2 linked regions of the Elephas maximus indicus genome follow. The protein of the gene in region 1 purifies or fractionates together with the protein of each later gene. This does not show direct contact. Links are inferred from orthologs where the notes say so. Each region holds a gene or a part of one and is shown in the gene's direction. Other genes may lie near its edges.

The links.
Region 2: the proteins of BLNK (region 1) and SYK purify together in Homo sapiens (affinity purification with western blotting; 3 studies listed by BioGRID and IntAct, with this or other methods). This does not show direct contact. The link is inferred for Elephas maximus indicus from reciprocal best matches to the Homo sapiens genes BLNK and SYK.

What each region holds. Positions count from the first base shown.
Region 1 is NC_064834.1:48,037,382-48,045,789, reverse strand, and holds the start of BLNK (B-cell linker protein), read left to right. Parts: upstream 1-5,186; 5' UTR 5,187-5,352; coding exon 5,353-5,399; intron 5,400-7,659; exon of another isoform or gene 7,660-7,829; intron 7,830-8,408. UniProt on the Homo sapiens protein: Functions as a central linker protein, downstream of the B-cell receptor (BCR), bridging the SYK kinase to a multitude of signaling pathways and regulating biological outcomes of B-cell function and development.
Region 2 is NC_064827.1:118,740,909-118,748,961, reverse strand, and holds the start of SYK (tyrosine-protein kinase SYK), read left to right. Parts: upstream 1-4,833; 5' UTR 4,834-6,127; coding exon 6,128-6,184; intron 6,185-8,053. UniProt on the Homo sapiens protein: Non-receptor tyrosine kinase which mediates signal transduction downstream of a variety of transmembrane receptors including classical immunoreceptors like the B-cell receptor (BCR).

The sequences.
Region 1 (8,408 bases):
AACAACAGGCTATTGTAACATTTTTGGTCAACAGGGCTTGGACTGATACAATGAATAAAGGCTGTTTTTACCTAAGCTTTCCTCCTAGTAAAACAGGTGCCTCACTCTAGGTCAGCCTGATGTACAGAATGTTGAGTTTACTGAATAGGTAAAATAAGGAACCACTTGTCTCACAGAATGTGAAGCGTAAGCCCCCTTACCCAAATCACAGATATTGTTTTCTTCCTTCTTTTTCCATTCCTGCCCTCTCTCCACAAAGGAGGGTGGCAGACAAATCACTACCAGCACCTGCCACACTTCCTTTTCTCCCTGCCTTTCCCTGGTGTTTTCTGCTGTTTTTCCTCCCCTGGCTCACCCAGACTCCATCTGGGTTCTTAACCAGTACTGGCTGAGAAAACCAGGCATGGGCCTGACCAATCAGGGTCTCCTGCCACTTTGACCTGTGTGTGTCAGAAAGCTGCCGGGGTGCTGTTGCTGTAGACGCCACTAACAACCACCCCCCCAAACAAAAAAAAAAAGAAGAAGAAGGGAAGGAAAAGAAAGAATCAAAGAAAAAAGAGGGGATCAAATAGAGAGAAAATGGTTTGGGAGGGGTCAGGAAGACTGGGTGGCCTTGGGTAGGTCACATCACCTTTCTAAGGCTCAGTTTTCACATCATAAAATGGGAATGATAACAGCACCCATCTCATAGGGTTGTTGTGAGGCTGAGAATCATGGTGATGGTTCTGCATAGAGAAGTTCCAATGCCACACCTTGCCTATTTCCTCTGGGAGCATGCCTAAGCCGGCCCTGGAAGGGCAACGGTTATCAGCGATTGGGTAGCAGAGCAGAGAGGGTAAACTGTAGCTGACTTCCCAGAGCAGGAATGCACGGAAACGTGCTCCTCAGCCCAGGCTTCAGTGAGGACTTGGACCACCTCCAAGATCCATTAAGCTGCCCACGGTCTCCTAGCCTCTCCTCTCTCTGAGAAGCAGTCTAGAGTGAAGAATCAGAGGTTCTCTTCTTGAAACTTTAAACCAGAACCTTTGCCCAAAGGTGAAGGAAATATAGAACATTCTCAGACTATGCCCACTGGTGCTAACCTATTCCTGTGCCCATTACCAGTGTCCAGACTCCAAGTCAGAAGAGGCCTGAGCCCTCTTTGAATCCCTTCTCCTTTACTCTATAGGTGAGAATTGAGGCCAAACAGACTGAGTTGCTCAAGGTCATGGTTAAGTTGGCACCTGGGTGACAGAGCAGGGTCCTCTGCCCCCAGACGAATCACAAAAGATCTCTCTTCAGTGAAGGTAGGGCCCTGGGATCAGCAGCTTAGGCGACAGAAATAGACTTGGGTTTGAATCCCAGGTCTTCCACTAATTAGCGGTGTAACTTTGGGACAGTTACATGATCTCTCTAAGCATCAATTTCCTCACCTGTAAAATGGATGTAATCATAGTACAGGCACATGGAGACCATTCAATAAACATGTTGTTTTCATGCCAAAGACATAAGAAAAAAAGCCCAAGAGGAGGCAAGCCTAGCTGGGTCTCATCCCCAAGCTCCAGTATAATCTTTCTGCTTGTTCTCTTGTCTTATCATCTTACAGAGCTAACTCAGACTTAGGCAGACTGTCTTGGCTTTTCCCCATAAATCAAGACTAGATCTTCTCTTATTTAATACCTATGATGTGTGTAAGTTATGAATAACAATAAAACGAGAATTCGTATGCTCACTACTCAACGTAAAAAATAGCACACTACCACCATCTTTGAAACTCTATGTACCCCTTCACCTCAACTATGCTCCCTGGTAACCGTTCACCTGAATTTTATATTTATCATTCCTTTCCTTGGTTTTACCAAATTGGAATGTATTCCTAAATAATATATTATTTAGCTAGCTTCGCATGTCTTTAACCTCATTATAAATGGAATTGTGCTGTATCATCTTTTATATCTTGCCTGTATTGTTCAAATTGTTTTTGAAATATATCCATAGAGGTGTGAGCAACTGTAGTTCACTCATTTTTTCACTAGTTGTATGGTATTCCATTGAATGAATATACCACAATTAATTTATCCATTCTCCTATTGATGGACTACTGGGTTATTTCCAGGTTTATTTATTTGTTTGGTTTTTGCTATTATAAAAGTCTCTCAATGAACGTTGTTGCACATGACCTTGGTATATAGTTAGGAGTGGAATTGCTGTGTCACTCGATGACAGCGGGTTTAGGTATATATATAGCTTACTTTATTAGATAATGCCACATTGTTTCCAAAGTCATTGTACCTAATGTATGTAAAATATGTGTACTTTTATCAGTGTATAAAACCAAAACAAAATCCATTGTCATCAAGTCAATTCCGACTCATAGTGGCCCTATAGGACACAGTAGAACTGCCCCATAGGGTTTCCAAGACTGCAATCTTTATGGAAGCAGACTGCCACATCTTTCTCCCACGGAGTGGCTGGTGGGTTGGAACTGCCAACTTTTTGGTTAGCAGCTGAGAATTTAACCACAGTTCCAGCGGGGTTTCCCATTATCAGCAGTGTATAGGAGTTTCAAATTTTCTTTAAGGTTGGGATTATACATTTTTTCCCCATCTTTTAATTGTAAATTTCCACATCCCTGTGCCATGTACCTTGAGCCTGAGCATTTAAATGTTCTCCGTGTGCTGTGGAAACCATGTTGTGTGGTTTCATTCCCTTTATAAGTCATCAACTAAAACTTGATGTCATAAATTTCTATCCTTGCATTGACCTTTGTAGCAAGCCAGTTACAGCTACTGAGTAGGCACGGCAGGCCTGGAACATTTTGATGGTCACGCTACACACCACATGGGGCAAAATGTCCAGTCTGGAAATGCAGACTCTCATTTTTATCATGTCAGACTAAATGCAGTAAAAAGAAGAAAGACAAGTGGCTGTAAAAAGAAAAAGCAGAAGTAACCCATCCCCCTGGTCTTTTTCTCTGGGGAAATAAGTTGCCAGCCCAGGTGCTGAGCAGAGTTGTTGATTGAGAGAAAAGTCAAGGGACGGATGGAGTACAGTTTACAGTAATTTAGAAAGAATGAGCTTGTTGTTTTCACCCCATTCAGTGAAGCTTGATTTTCCTGATCTCAGATGACATTGTACATGCCTTGGTAACATCCTTGTCTACTGGATCCTTTCAGTTAGGAACCTGAAGAGTATCTTATGGCTCCTTCACAATACATTGCAAGATAATTAAGCTGCTTGTTTGAAGGAAATACATGATTGGAGGAGGAAAGCTGTTGAATTTTTCTCATGAAATATCATCTGCTCTCTTGCTAGCCTGGCCAGTTTGGTGGCCTGGCCAAGCCGAAGGGCCCTACCCTTTAAAACTTCTGAAGATTCTCCCCCTGAACATCTGGCTCAACCAGAAATTTGGAGGCAGGCATGAATGTGAATAATCAAAATTTATCTAGAGAAAAATAGAACCTCAGTTTGTTCAAAGAAGAGGCACGGGAGGAAGAAAGGCATCTACTCTTTCCACTTCTGCCACGACCTCCTCCTCCTCCTTCCCCTTCTCTTTTGTTTCCTCCTCCTCTTCCTCCAGAGCCCTGATAGCTCTGTGGTTAATAGCTATAGCTGCTAACCAAAAGATCAGCAGTTCAAATCCACAGCCATTCCTTGGAAACCCAACGGGGCAGTTCTACTCTGTCCTATAGGGTTGCTATGAGTCAGAATTGACTCAATGGCAATGGGTTTGATTATTTTTCCTCTTCCCCCTTCTAACTGATAGACCTTGAGTCTGTAACAGGAGAGGTAACTGGGAGCCCTCTATTTTGTCCATTCAGTGTATTTTTCAGACCAAGGAGAGGACCAGTCACCTTGGTAAATGTGGGAAATGTTCACTTGACCTCACATAGGTGAGCAGGGCATTATTGCCGGAAGCAAGGGAAGTGTGTCTAGGAAGAAAAGGAATGGTCCCTCTCACCGTCTTCCTTCTACACTCTAAACGATGGACAAATCAGGAGTTTTCAGCAAAGTTTATTGGTATAGTTATTGTTGTTGTTATTTAACGTACTCACAATAGGTTGAAGAAACTGTGAAGTTTTCCAGAAAAGAAGTAGACCTCTCTGGATGGGTCTGGCCACATGCAGGTAGGGTGCCTTCCTCCCAGCACCTTACCTGCTCCTCCTGTCTGTGCTCTGGAGACCCATTACTGCTCCCATGTCACCTGGGTATGGTGAGGCAAGAGGGGACAAAGACAGGGAGGAAAGTGGCACTCTACTTTTAAGGGAACTTCAGAATGGCCTGATGTCAGAATTACATCATTGGGAGACTGTTAGATTTGTTCTTGGCTAACTTTTGTACATCCAGGCTGAGCTTGAAAGCATCTAGCTACCAGCGTGGTAACTCCAGCCTCCACCAGCCCAATAAGGAGGCCACGCTTCTTATGATGGTGATCATCTCTCCTTTTCCAGATCACCTGTCTCTACCCCTAAATGATCTTGCATAGAGAATTTTCCATCCAATTTTACATAGATCTCCAGGAAACGAGAGACTCTAACTCTCTGAGGAAACTGTTACCACTGTGTCACTGCCACCTTGATATTTATTCAAATAATATTTTGGGGGGGGGAGGGGACGAGACAGAAGAGACAGCACAGAAATGCCATTTTCATATAGCAAAAAAATCCGTTGCTGTCAAGTCGATTCTGACTCATAGCAACCCTGTAGGACAGAGTAGAATTTCCCCATAGAGTTTCCAAGGAGTGGCTGGTGGATTTGAACTGCAGACCTTTTGGTCAGCAGCTGAGCTCTTAACCACTGTGTCACCAGGGTTCTCATTTATAATGGTTTTAAAAGTGGGAAAAGTATATCCATGACTTTAAGCAAATGAACAGAAAGTCTCAAAAAGACATTAGGATGGAATTGGCTATCCTGCTTTTCCTTGAGGCCAGGAAGCTGCCGTTGACAGCATATCATGATACTTGCTGAAAACAGGCACTGTATGTGGACAAGACAACAGGAAGTCGTGACCAGCCAGAAGCTTGTCCTGCCCTAATTACAAATCTGGTTATAAAAAAAAGCAGCTGGAAAGAAATCTGCATGCCCAATAGGTTTCACTATTAAAGTTTACACAACATGGAGTAATCAGCCAAGCTGGCTGGCTACCCTGATCACATGATTATGTAGAAACATGAAACTTGCTATGTGCTCGAGCAAGTTTTACTTCTCTCTAGTGCAGGAGTGTCTGCCAGCAGCCTGTGCTCTCGGAAATCAGATTCAAGTGACAAGGGACCCTTGAGACCCAACGCTTATCATGCTACTGCCTGGGAGGGCCAGGAACTGCTGATGCTACCACTGAACACTTATCTGTAGTGCTTACAATTACCGAAAAGAATGGACAAGCTTAATAAGATAACTGTCCCAGCCAGTCAGAAGTTGAGGTAAGATTTTCCCTATTCAGTACTTCTCCTATTTCTCCTTTTTCTTCTCCTTTTTTGGGGAATTTTCTTACTGTATCTCAGAAATACTGAAATCCTGGAATACTTTGCTAACTTCAAGGCAGTGGGTGGCAATTACTGTAGGGAAATAGACTGAATTTTTAAAGAAACTTGTTGGAGCAAGAAATGTGTAGCCAGCACAAACTGGCTCTTCCCAGTGACAGATTAAAGTGCAAAGCTCTGGAGAGACAACAAAAAAGAAAAGCTAAGAGGCTTAGATTTCACCAAATGTCAGCTTTCAGAGTCTGAAAGCAACAAACTTTTCTAAAGAAGTATTTGTCTAAACTGAGTCCTCAACCGTTTCATTGTGAATTACTATTTAATTTTGAGAACAAAGGTAATCATTTGTAGTCATTATAGTTTTATCATCTCTTATTTGTTTTGTGACTATATATCACAAGTATCTTTGGGCGATTAGATCTGTTTTTCCAATGTCCTCATGCCACTGTTATAATTATCTATAAGAAGCCACTTAGTAGGAATAAATAGAAGTGGCCCAAGGGGCAAGAGTTAAGAAACTCCTCTTAGCTATGGAATAAATGACTTTCTAAATTTTAATTTGGAAGGCTTTCTTTTGGCCTAATTGTAACATCATCATGGTTTTTGGAGATTAGAACTCTTACATGTTCAATGAGCATTTTGTATTCCAAGTACTAAGGGAACTTCAGTTTTCCATGAGGTGATGTGACACAAGTAGCAGATAAATTATCACAGAGAGTAAGGAGCAAGAGAATTAGAACTTTGAGACAAATTTTAAGAAAAATAATTTTTAAACTCGCAAAGGGATAGCCCTTCACAGTTAAAAGAAATATCTTAAGCCTAGTAGCAGCTTGATAAATGGTAGTTTGAAATGAACTGTTGATCTGGAATCAGTAGGCAACAGCTGCGTCAGCCATTGCAATAGCTTGTCATTGAATGTGAACCGTGTGATCAGCGCTGAGTGCCGGGCAAGATGACACCTCAGTCTTGCCCTTGCTCTCAAGTTGCTGTATTTACCTTCAGGGGTGGGAGGCAGCAGGTAAAATGATGGAAGATAGTAAGTGACTAAACGAGTATAAGAAGAGAATTGGAGTAGTTGGAGGATGTGTCATGGAGAAGAGGTTTCAAGTGGTAGGCATTAAGAGGGGGTAAGATAAACGTAGCTGGAGAGTTCAAAGAAAAGTGTTAGGTGCTGGGAACCAGGAAACAGCAAAAGCTGAGGTTTGGAACTGCCCATGAGTACAGTCCACTTGTGGGATGAGGGGGAGAGTTTTCTGGGCCAACAGAAGTGGTAGAGTAGGGTATGTGGGACCAGAATGTCCTGATAAGGTTGGACACAGGGTGGGCCAGATCATAAAGAACAGTTAGGCTCTAATGATAGGGAGGCAGAGAAGAGTTCACCAGTAGGTTTGAGGGAAGTCGGCAGCATGGATTGAAAGGGGAGGGAACCTGGAGGCAGGGATACTAGGAAGGGGGCAGGTAAGTAACCCAAGCATCTGGGGTTGTAGGCCTGGACTTGGGGCACAGCACTGAGAAGGAAAAGGAAAGACAGACCAAAGAAATTATCAAACATGGCTATCAGGGCCTCTCTTAAATCAGCAAGAAGGTCAAAAAGGACCTTTTCAGACATATTCCATAACCTAGAGCTATAGAAAACATTAGAACCTCTTTTAGGAAATCCAGATTGGAATTTAAATAAAGAAAGGCAATAGAACCTAAATTATTTTATGATTCTTCCCTTTGGAACAAAGTTCAGCTTGATTGCAGAGTAGTTGATAGGCAACATATAACCATAGATCACAGGGTAGAAAACTTAAATTATATTGTGGCTGATCATACACTACGTTCATCTGCTTGGGCAGAAGTAACTTTTTTTTTCCACTTGGTTGCTCAGTTGTCTTTACAGAATTGGCCTGTTTTGGTAAAATGGGCATTGTCAACGTGGAACTTTTCAAAGAAATAAAATTTAAACACAATGGACTTGAAACACCATCTTAAACCTTTTCTATAGTTAGGTGGGATGATGAAGAATAGGTAGATAAAATACTTGACCCTTGTGATTTGTATTCTCTGTCCTCACTGGTTAACATCAATTCAGAATGTTGTCTAACTGTGCAATTATTTGGCACTGGATGACAGAAGAAGAGCTGTGTTCATAGTTTTAGGATTATCAAAGATTAATGAGAATTTGCTCAAATTCTTAACCCCAAAAATAGAGAGATCGTGAGTGTCTTTCACGGAAGCTAGCAGGGAAGACCTTGATCCAGGGCATATATTCCCAGGGCTGAAAAGAAATAGAAGCAGAAGAGAGATCAGCAGGGGAAGGAAAGCGAACTCAACCAAGGAAAGGAGGGCAAGCAGGATTGGAAGGAACCAAGGACTCCCAAAGTGAAGGTGAGAGAGAGAAAATGGACCAGCTGGGGATGGGTACTCACCTTGAGAGTTTCCACTGGGGAAAAATTGAGACAGTTAAGGTGGCTAAGTTGTAACAGAGAAGCACGAGCACAAATTCTCGCTTTTTCCTCCTACTGAGGCACTAAAATAAAGTAGGATTCTCTGTTGGTAGGAATTCATAAACTTTCAGAATCTTTTAGTTGATTCTTAGCATGATTTTCCCTTGATTATATAACATAATGCTAGCAGAACCCAGCTGAGGCCTGAGTTCTCAATTCTTCCACACTAAATATTCCTATGATCATAAAAATGTCATACTTCTACGTAAACATTTCAAAATTTTCAAGCCTTGGATCACATTGTGTATATTCTTATGTCTTTAATAGTCTCCCAATTGACTCAATATCTATGCTTGTGTATTTTTCTTCATAACACACATAGACATGTACCCACTTATTTTTATGAATGGAAAAGTTAAAATCCCCAGGTCTTTGACACAAGTGTGGTCGATTCAGGTCTCCCCAATCCTTAGCTTATTGGTTAAAGAGCATTGTAGTTTTCAGCCAGACAACCAAAGCT
Region 2 (8,053 bases), on another chromosome or scaffold:
CATTAAAAAAAAAAAAAAAAATTAAAAAAAATACAGGAAGTCCAACACCACTCACAGTTAACAAATGTCGACATCTTACCATTTTTGCCTCCTCCCCACTCCAAGAAGAAGAAGATCATTACAAATCAAGTTTAAGCTACAACCCTTTCTATGCATGGGGAAATTGAGAGTAATTTGCCCAAGGCCAGGCAACTGGTTAACAACAGGGCTGAGATTGGAGCTTAGGTCTCTGTGGAAGCAAAGGGAGCTCTCTTATCTAGGCTGCCATACTGCCTTCTATTAATTAGGTCCTGTCTGCTGAGCAGCTCATAGTTAGCAAATACTAGCACCTATTATAGTAAACTGGACAGGTCTTTTTCACATGCTATGGACAAATTTTTGATTTACATAAATAAAATACAATCTGTTTCTGAGGGTGGCAGGAAACATTCCGTTGGGGAACCAAACAAAAACAGAGATGTGTGTGATTATCAGGAGCTGAGATTAGTTTAGACAAGAGTTTCCCAGATATTAGTATCTATTCACTCTTGTATTGAATTTTATAGTAGCCTGTACTTTCCCATTTGGTATAGTTGTGACCATCAGTTCCTCTTGTGAATAATCTAGAAGTCACTCTAAATAGAAAAAAAAAAAAAAAGAAACTAAGAGTCAGTCGTTGTTGATAGGTGCCATCGAATCAGTTCCCACCCAAAGCAACCCTGTGTACAACGGAATGAAACACTGCCCGGTCCTGCACCATCATCACGATGGTTGTTATGCTTGAGCCCATTGTTGCAGTCACTGTGCCAGTCAATTGTCAAGAGTCAATTAGAATTCTTGTGTCAGATAATATATTTTGTTTCTCTTATTTACAAAGCAGGGAAATAATTTTTAAAATCAAATTACATTTGACTGTCTTTGTAAGAGACATGATTTTGAATCCAATGAACTATTTTATAATATGGTGAAACTCTCTTAGCCTTGTGTTTTATATTAACTCATTAAATGGGTAGCTTTTTTCTTTTAATCGTGCTTTAAGTGAAAGTTTAAATTCAAGTCAGTTTCTCATACAAAAACTTATACACACATTGTTATGTGACCCTAGTTGCTCTCCCTATAACGTGACAGCACACTCTCTACCCTCTATTTCCCATGTCTCTTCAACCAGCTCTTGCCCCCATCTGCTTTCTCATCTCGCCTCCAGATAGGAGCTGCCTACATAGTCTCATGTGTCTACATGAGCCGAGAATCTCACTCCTCACCAGTATCATTTTATGTCTTATAGTCCAGTCTATTCTTTGTCTGAAGAGTTGGCTTCAGGAATGGTTTTAGCTTTGAGGTAACAGAGAGTCCAGGTGCCATTCCCTCTGGGGTCCCTGCAGTCTCAGTCAGACCATTAAGTCTGGTCTTTTTTTTTTTTTTTAGTCAATCACCCAATTTTATCAGATCTTAATATTCTGTCACACTTGCTTTATATTCCATGATCTTTTTTTTTTTATTGTGCTTTAAGTGAAAGTTTGCAGTTCAAGTCAGTTTCTCATACAAAAACTTATACACATTGTTATGTAACCCTAGCTGCTGTCACTGTAATGTGACAGCACACTCCTCCTCTCCACTCTGTATTTCCCATGTCCATTCAACCAGCTCCTGTCCCCCTCTGCCTTCTCATCTCACCCATGGACAGGAACTGCCCACAGTCTCATGAGTCTACTTGAGCTTAGAAGCACACTCCTCACCAGTATCAATTTGCGTCTTATAGTGCAGTCTAATCTTTGTCTGAAGAGTTGGCTTCGGGAATGGTTTTAGCTTTGGGCTAACAGAGAGTCCGGGGGCCATGACCTCTGGGGTCCCTCCAGTCTCAGTCAGACCATTAAGTCTGGTCTTTTTACTAGAATTTGAGGTCTACAACACACTTTTCTCCTGGTCCATCAGGGATTCTCCGTTGTGTTCCCTGTCAGGTCAGTCATTGGTGGTAGCTGGGCACCACCTAGTTCTTCTGGTCTCAGGCTGATGGAGTCTCTGGTTTATGTGGCCCTTTCTGTCTCTTGGGCCCATATTTTCATTGTGTCCTTGGTGTTCTTCATTCTCCTTTGCTGCAGGTGGGTTGAAACCAGTTGATGCATCTTATATGGCCACTTGCTAGTTTTTAAGACCTCAGATGCCACTCACCAAAGTGGGATGCAGAACATTTTCATAATACACTTTGTTGTGCCTACTGACCTAGATGTCTCCTGAAACCATGGTTCCCAGACCCCCACCCCTGCTACTCTGTCCCTCGAAGTATTTGGTTGTTTTCAGGAAACTTCTTAGCTTTTGGTTTAATCCAGCTCTGCTGACTTCCCCTGTATTATGTGTTGTCCTTCCCTTCACTTAAAATAGTTTTTATCTACTATCTAATTAGTGAATATTCCTCTCCCTCCCTCCCCACCCTTGTAACCATCAAAGAATGTTTTCTTCTGTGTTTAAACCTTTTCTTAAGTTCTTATAATAGTGGTCTCATACAATATTTGTCCTTTTGCAACTGACTAATTTCTATCAGCATAATACCTTCCAGATTCTTCCATTTATAAGATGTTTCATGGATTCATCGTTGTTCTTTATCATTGCATAGTATTCCATTGTGTGAATATACCATAATTTGTTGATCCATTCATCCGTTGGTGGGCATCTTGGTTGTTTCCATCTTTTTGCTATTGTAAACAGTGCTGCAATGAACATGGGCGTGCCTATATCTGTTAAGTGAAGGCTCTTATTTCTCTAGGATGTATTCTAAGAAATAGAATTGCTGGGTCATATGGTACTTCTTTATCTAGCTTTCTAAGGAAGTGCCAAATCGATTTCCAAAGTGGTTGTACCATTTTATATTCCCACCAGCAGTGTATAAGTGTTTCAGCCTTCCACAACCTCTTCAACATTTATGTTTTTTGGATTAATGCCAGCCTTGTTGGGGTGAGATGGTATATCATTGTAGTTTGAATTTGCATTTCTGTAATGGCTAATGATCATGAGCATTTCCACATAAAATGCTGCCTGAATGTCTTCTTTGGTGAAGTGCCTGTTCATATCCTTTGTAAATGGGCAGATTTTTATTGAGCTCATTTTATGTGCCTGGAGTCCCCAGGTAGTACAAATGGTTAACACACCTGACTGCTAACCAAAAGGTTGTGGAGGTGGGAGTCCACCCAGAGGTACCTCAGAAGAAAGACCTGGCCATCTACTTTTGAAAAATCAGCCAATGAAAACGCTATGGAGCACAGTTCTACTTTGACACACATGGACTTAGCATGAGGTAGAGTCGACACAGGAGTTGATGGCAAGTGGTAGCTGGTTCCTGTGTGCCTACCACCATTCTGGAGACCCTTCTGGGTGCCAGGAGTACATTAGTGAGCATGTTGTGAGGCCAGACAAGTTACAGCCATCGGGATTAAAAGCTGTCTGATCAACGTGACATTTCTGTTTAAATTTGGTAGCAAGCCCAGTGAGTTCTCAAAATAAGAACCTTCTGATTATCACAAAAGTGTCTTTCTTGTGAAAGAATACTTTTTCATAGCCATTAAAAAAAAAAAAAAATGTTCCTCTTAACCAGGGACTGATTTTATGGCAGGTTTTACTTTCAGCTGGCAACGATGTAATGCACACCACCAGGATGTCCACAGGGCTGATAATGTTCAGACCCACAGGATGATCACAGGCCATACTGGGCACAGGAACCCCAGCTTCCCAGCAGGGCAGCATCAGGTATCTTCCTGCAGAGGGAGTCTTCGCTGCAGTCCACACCTCTCAGGGCCAAGGAGGCAAGGTCCACATGGAAGCCTGCCCCAGGAGCCATTTCTCTCTAAACAACACTGTAGACATAGTTTCTAGAGTCCTTACAAGAAACAGGCTCAAAGCTCTGGCTTTTTATTAAGTATTTATAGTTCTGCCAGACTGGAAAGAAAGGCATGGCAATCTGCTTCCAAAAATCAGCCAGTGAAAACTCTGTGGTGACAAGGGCCTGATCCACAACTGATCATGGAAATGGTGCGGGATGGCACAGGAATGGGCAGTGTTACTATTACCATAAGCAATGCTGCTTAACTATATAATTGACAGGCTGCCTTATCAGGTTACCTGGGGAACAAGGCTGGAGAGCTAACCAGAAGTCAGGTTCTTTTGCAGAAGGGAATAGATTCTGTTAACCTATTGCCCATATTTAACACTAACTTGTTTTTTAAAATACGTAAGTCGTCGTTTCTTTACAACATTGTTCTTCGTACAGCCATATGAACCCCGGCCCTTGTTTATTTGCTTAATATATGCTTTCCCCAGGAGAATGTTTCCATGGATGGTGGGAGCCGTTGGCCCTGGAGGGGAGATGTATTTTATCACTGGAATCATTTTCAATTGTTGTGGCGTGGTAATGCTGTTATTGTTTCCCAGGGCCAGCTATTCCCACGGCCCCAGCTGTGGCATGGGCCCCAGTCCTTCTTATTTTCTGCTGGGAACCCAGCACCTAGAACATGCCTGACACATGGGAGGTTCATGGATGCTAAAAGAAGTGAATGTGGAATGCTGATTGGCACGTTCTGCTTTATTTTTAAAAATCGTACTTTATAAATTAAGCTGTTTGAGTATCTCCACATGTATCTTACTTCATGTAGCATTTTATAGAAATTCTCGTCATAGCCAACCTCTGTATGAACTAGTGTGTATAAAAACCAGTGTCACTGGAACTGTACTATTACAGATAATAAATTGGTGTTTTTTGAAAATCGGTTACCCTCTAAGGAACAAAATTTATGTTTGAAGTATATTCTATTATTTGAATAATATTCTGAATGTAATATTTGCTTATTGAAGGATTCTATGGCCAAAAAATTGAATGACATAGGAAGTATCAAAAGAAGATGGAAGGAATATGCAGAGTAACTGTACCAAAAAGAATTGGTTGACATTTATTTCTGGAGGCAGCATATGACCAAGAACTGATGGTACTGAAGGAAGAAGTCCAAGCTGCACTAAGGGTATTGGCAAAAAAAGCAAGGCTCCAGGAATTGACAGAACACCAACTGAAATATTTCAACAAATGGATGTAATGCTGGAAGTCCTCACTTATCTACGCCAAGAAATTTGTTAGACAGCTACCTGGCCAACCAACTGGAAGAGATCCATATCTGTGCCCATTCTGAGGAGAGGTGGTCCAACGGAATGTGGAAATTATAGAACAATATCATTAATATCATATGCAGGTAAAATTTTGCTGAAGATAGCTCAAGAACAGTTGTAGCAGTACAGCAGCAGGGGACTACCAGAAATTCAAGCCAGATTGAGAAGAGGATGTGAAACTAGGGATATCATTGCTGATATCAGATGGATCTTGGCTGAAAGCAGGTAATACCAGAAAGATGTTTACCTGTATTTTATTGACTATGCAAAGGTATTTGACTATGTGAATCATAATGAATTATGGATAACATTGCAAAGGATGGGAATTCCAGAACATTGAACTGTGCTCAAGAGGAACCTGTGCATAGACCAAGAACAGTCACTGGAACAGAACAAGGGAATACTGCATGGTTTAAAATCAGGAAGGGTGTGTGTCAGGGTTGTATCCTTTTACCATGCTTATTTAATCTGTATGCTGAGCAAATAATCCGAGAAGCTGCACTATTTGTGGAAGAATGGAGCATCAGGATTGGAGGAAGCCTTATTAACAACTGGCGTTATGCAGATGATACAACCTTGCTTGCTGAAAGTGAAATGGATTTGAAGCACTTACTGATGAAGATCAAAGACCACCTCATTACACCTCAACACGAACAAAAATCCTCACAACTGGACCAATAAGCAATACTGTGATAAACGGAGAAAAGATTGAAGCTCTCAAGGATTTCATTTTACTTGAATCCACAATCAGTGCCCATGGAAGCAAAAGTCAAGAAATCAAAAGATGCATTGCATTGGGCAAATCTGCCGCAAAAGACCTCTTTCAAGTATTAAAAAGCGAAGTTGTCACTTTAAGGACTAAGATGCGCCTGACCCAAGCCAAAGTATTTTCAGTCGCCTCATGTGCATGCGAAAACGGAACAATGAATAAAGAAGACCAAAGGAGAATTGATGACTTGAATTATGGTGAAGAATATGAATATTCCAGTGGACTGCCGGAAGAATGAACAAATCTGTCTTGGAAGAAGAACAAGAAGAATGCTCCTTAGAAGTGAGAATGGTGAGATTTTGTCTCACGTACTGTGGACATGTTATCAGGAGGGACTAGTACCAGGAGAAGGACATCATGCTTGGTAAAGTAGAGGGTCAGTGAAAAAGAGGAGGACCCTCGATGAGACGGACTGACACGGTGGCTGCAACAGTGGGTTCAAATGCAGCAACCGGTGTGAGGATTGTCAGGACTGGGCAGTGTTTCGTTATGTTGTGCATGGGGTCGCTGTGAGTCAGAACCGACTCTACTGCACCTAACAACAACAACAGCAATATTGACTTCCTAAATTTTTCTTTGTACACTCTCTTTTCTTTTAATTTTGTAATGAAAAATTTCATATAAACATGTTGAATACTCATACTTAAGAAACTTAAACCATTCAGAGAGTTTATAACAAAAAGGAAGACTCTACTAGCACACTCTTCTTTTCCCCCCGTTGTGCTCCAGGAGGCTCCCTTTTTTTTTTTTTTTAAAGTGTAGTAATTTTATCACTTTTATTTAAATGATTTATGCCCTCTATAAAATCTCTCAAGCAATCTACAAAAGTATGTTAAGAAATTTCCCTAATTCTTACCATAACAAAACGACGAGTAGTGACTTTAATGAATGTTATTTCAGATAGGTCTTTTTTGCAAATACACAGATGGATGGATGGATGGATGGATGGATGGATGGATGGATGGATGGATGGATGGATGGATGGATGGATGGATGGATGGATGGATGGATGGATGGATGGATGGATGGATGGATGGATGGATGGATGGATGGATGGATGGATGGATGGATGGATGGATGGATGGATGGATGGGTGGATGGATGGATGGGTGGATGGGTGGATGGATGGATGGAAAGGAAAGAATCATGGTATACATAAGTTTTTTCAATTTAACAGATTATTTTAGAACTTATTTTACTTGAATTTAATAAAGGAGAAAGAAACTGAAATGACAACAAAGGAGCTGAAAACATTAAAAAAATGTTTCTTCACCGTATGAAATATTATTATCCTTAAGATCTTTTGATGGTTAAGAAAAAAAAACATCATGAGACCATTGCTTGGCTAAGCATTGTCCTTTAAAAAACCTATTCCTGCTTAAAGAGTATTCATTGGCTCTTTTTTATGAAAAATGAAGTGACAAATATTTTTATATTCACATGTTCTGACGTGTGTTCCTTATGTTTATTTTTTTAATTTCTCAAAGTTACTAACAATTACATATGTACATATTCATTTGTTGGCATTTATAAACATTTGTGTTGTGTTCTGAAACCAAAAACACCTTTCTTTTTTAATATTTATATTTAAATATATTTCACTGCTCACCACCATGTTTTTCACCATGCTACGTCCATTCCTGATTTATTTATTTTGATAGAGTCCCTGACTGGCAGGTTTTATTGTTGAGTAGTTTTTGTTTGTTTTATTTTTACTTTTTTTTTTTTTATTCATTTCACCCATTCTTTGATATTTGAGAATGCCTGCATATTGCAGGTTGTTAATGAGCCTTCCTCCAATCCTGATGCCACATTCTACCTATAGTCCAGTTTCTCACATTTTTTGCTCGGCATACAGATTAAATAAGTATGGTGAAAGGATACAACCCTGACACACACCTTTCTTGATTTTAGACCATGCAGTATTTCTTTGTTCTGTTCTGGTGGCAGCCTCTTTGTCTGTATACAGTTTCCACATGAGCACAGTTAAGTGTTCTGGAATTCCCATTATTATGCAATGTTATCCATAATTCGTTATGATCCACACAGTCAAATACCTTTGCATAGTTAATAAAACACAGATAAACACCTTCCTGATAGTCTCTGCCTTCAGCTAAGATCTGTCTGACATCAGCAATGTCATGTCTAGTTCCACAGCCT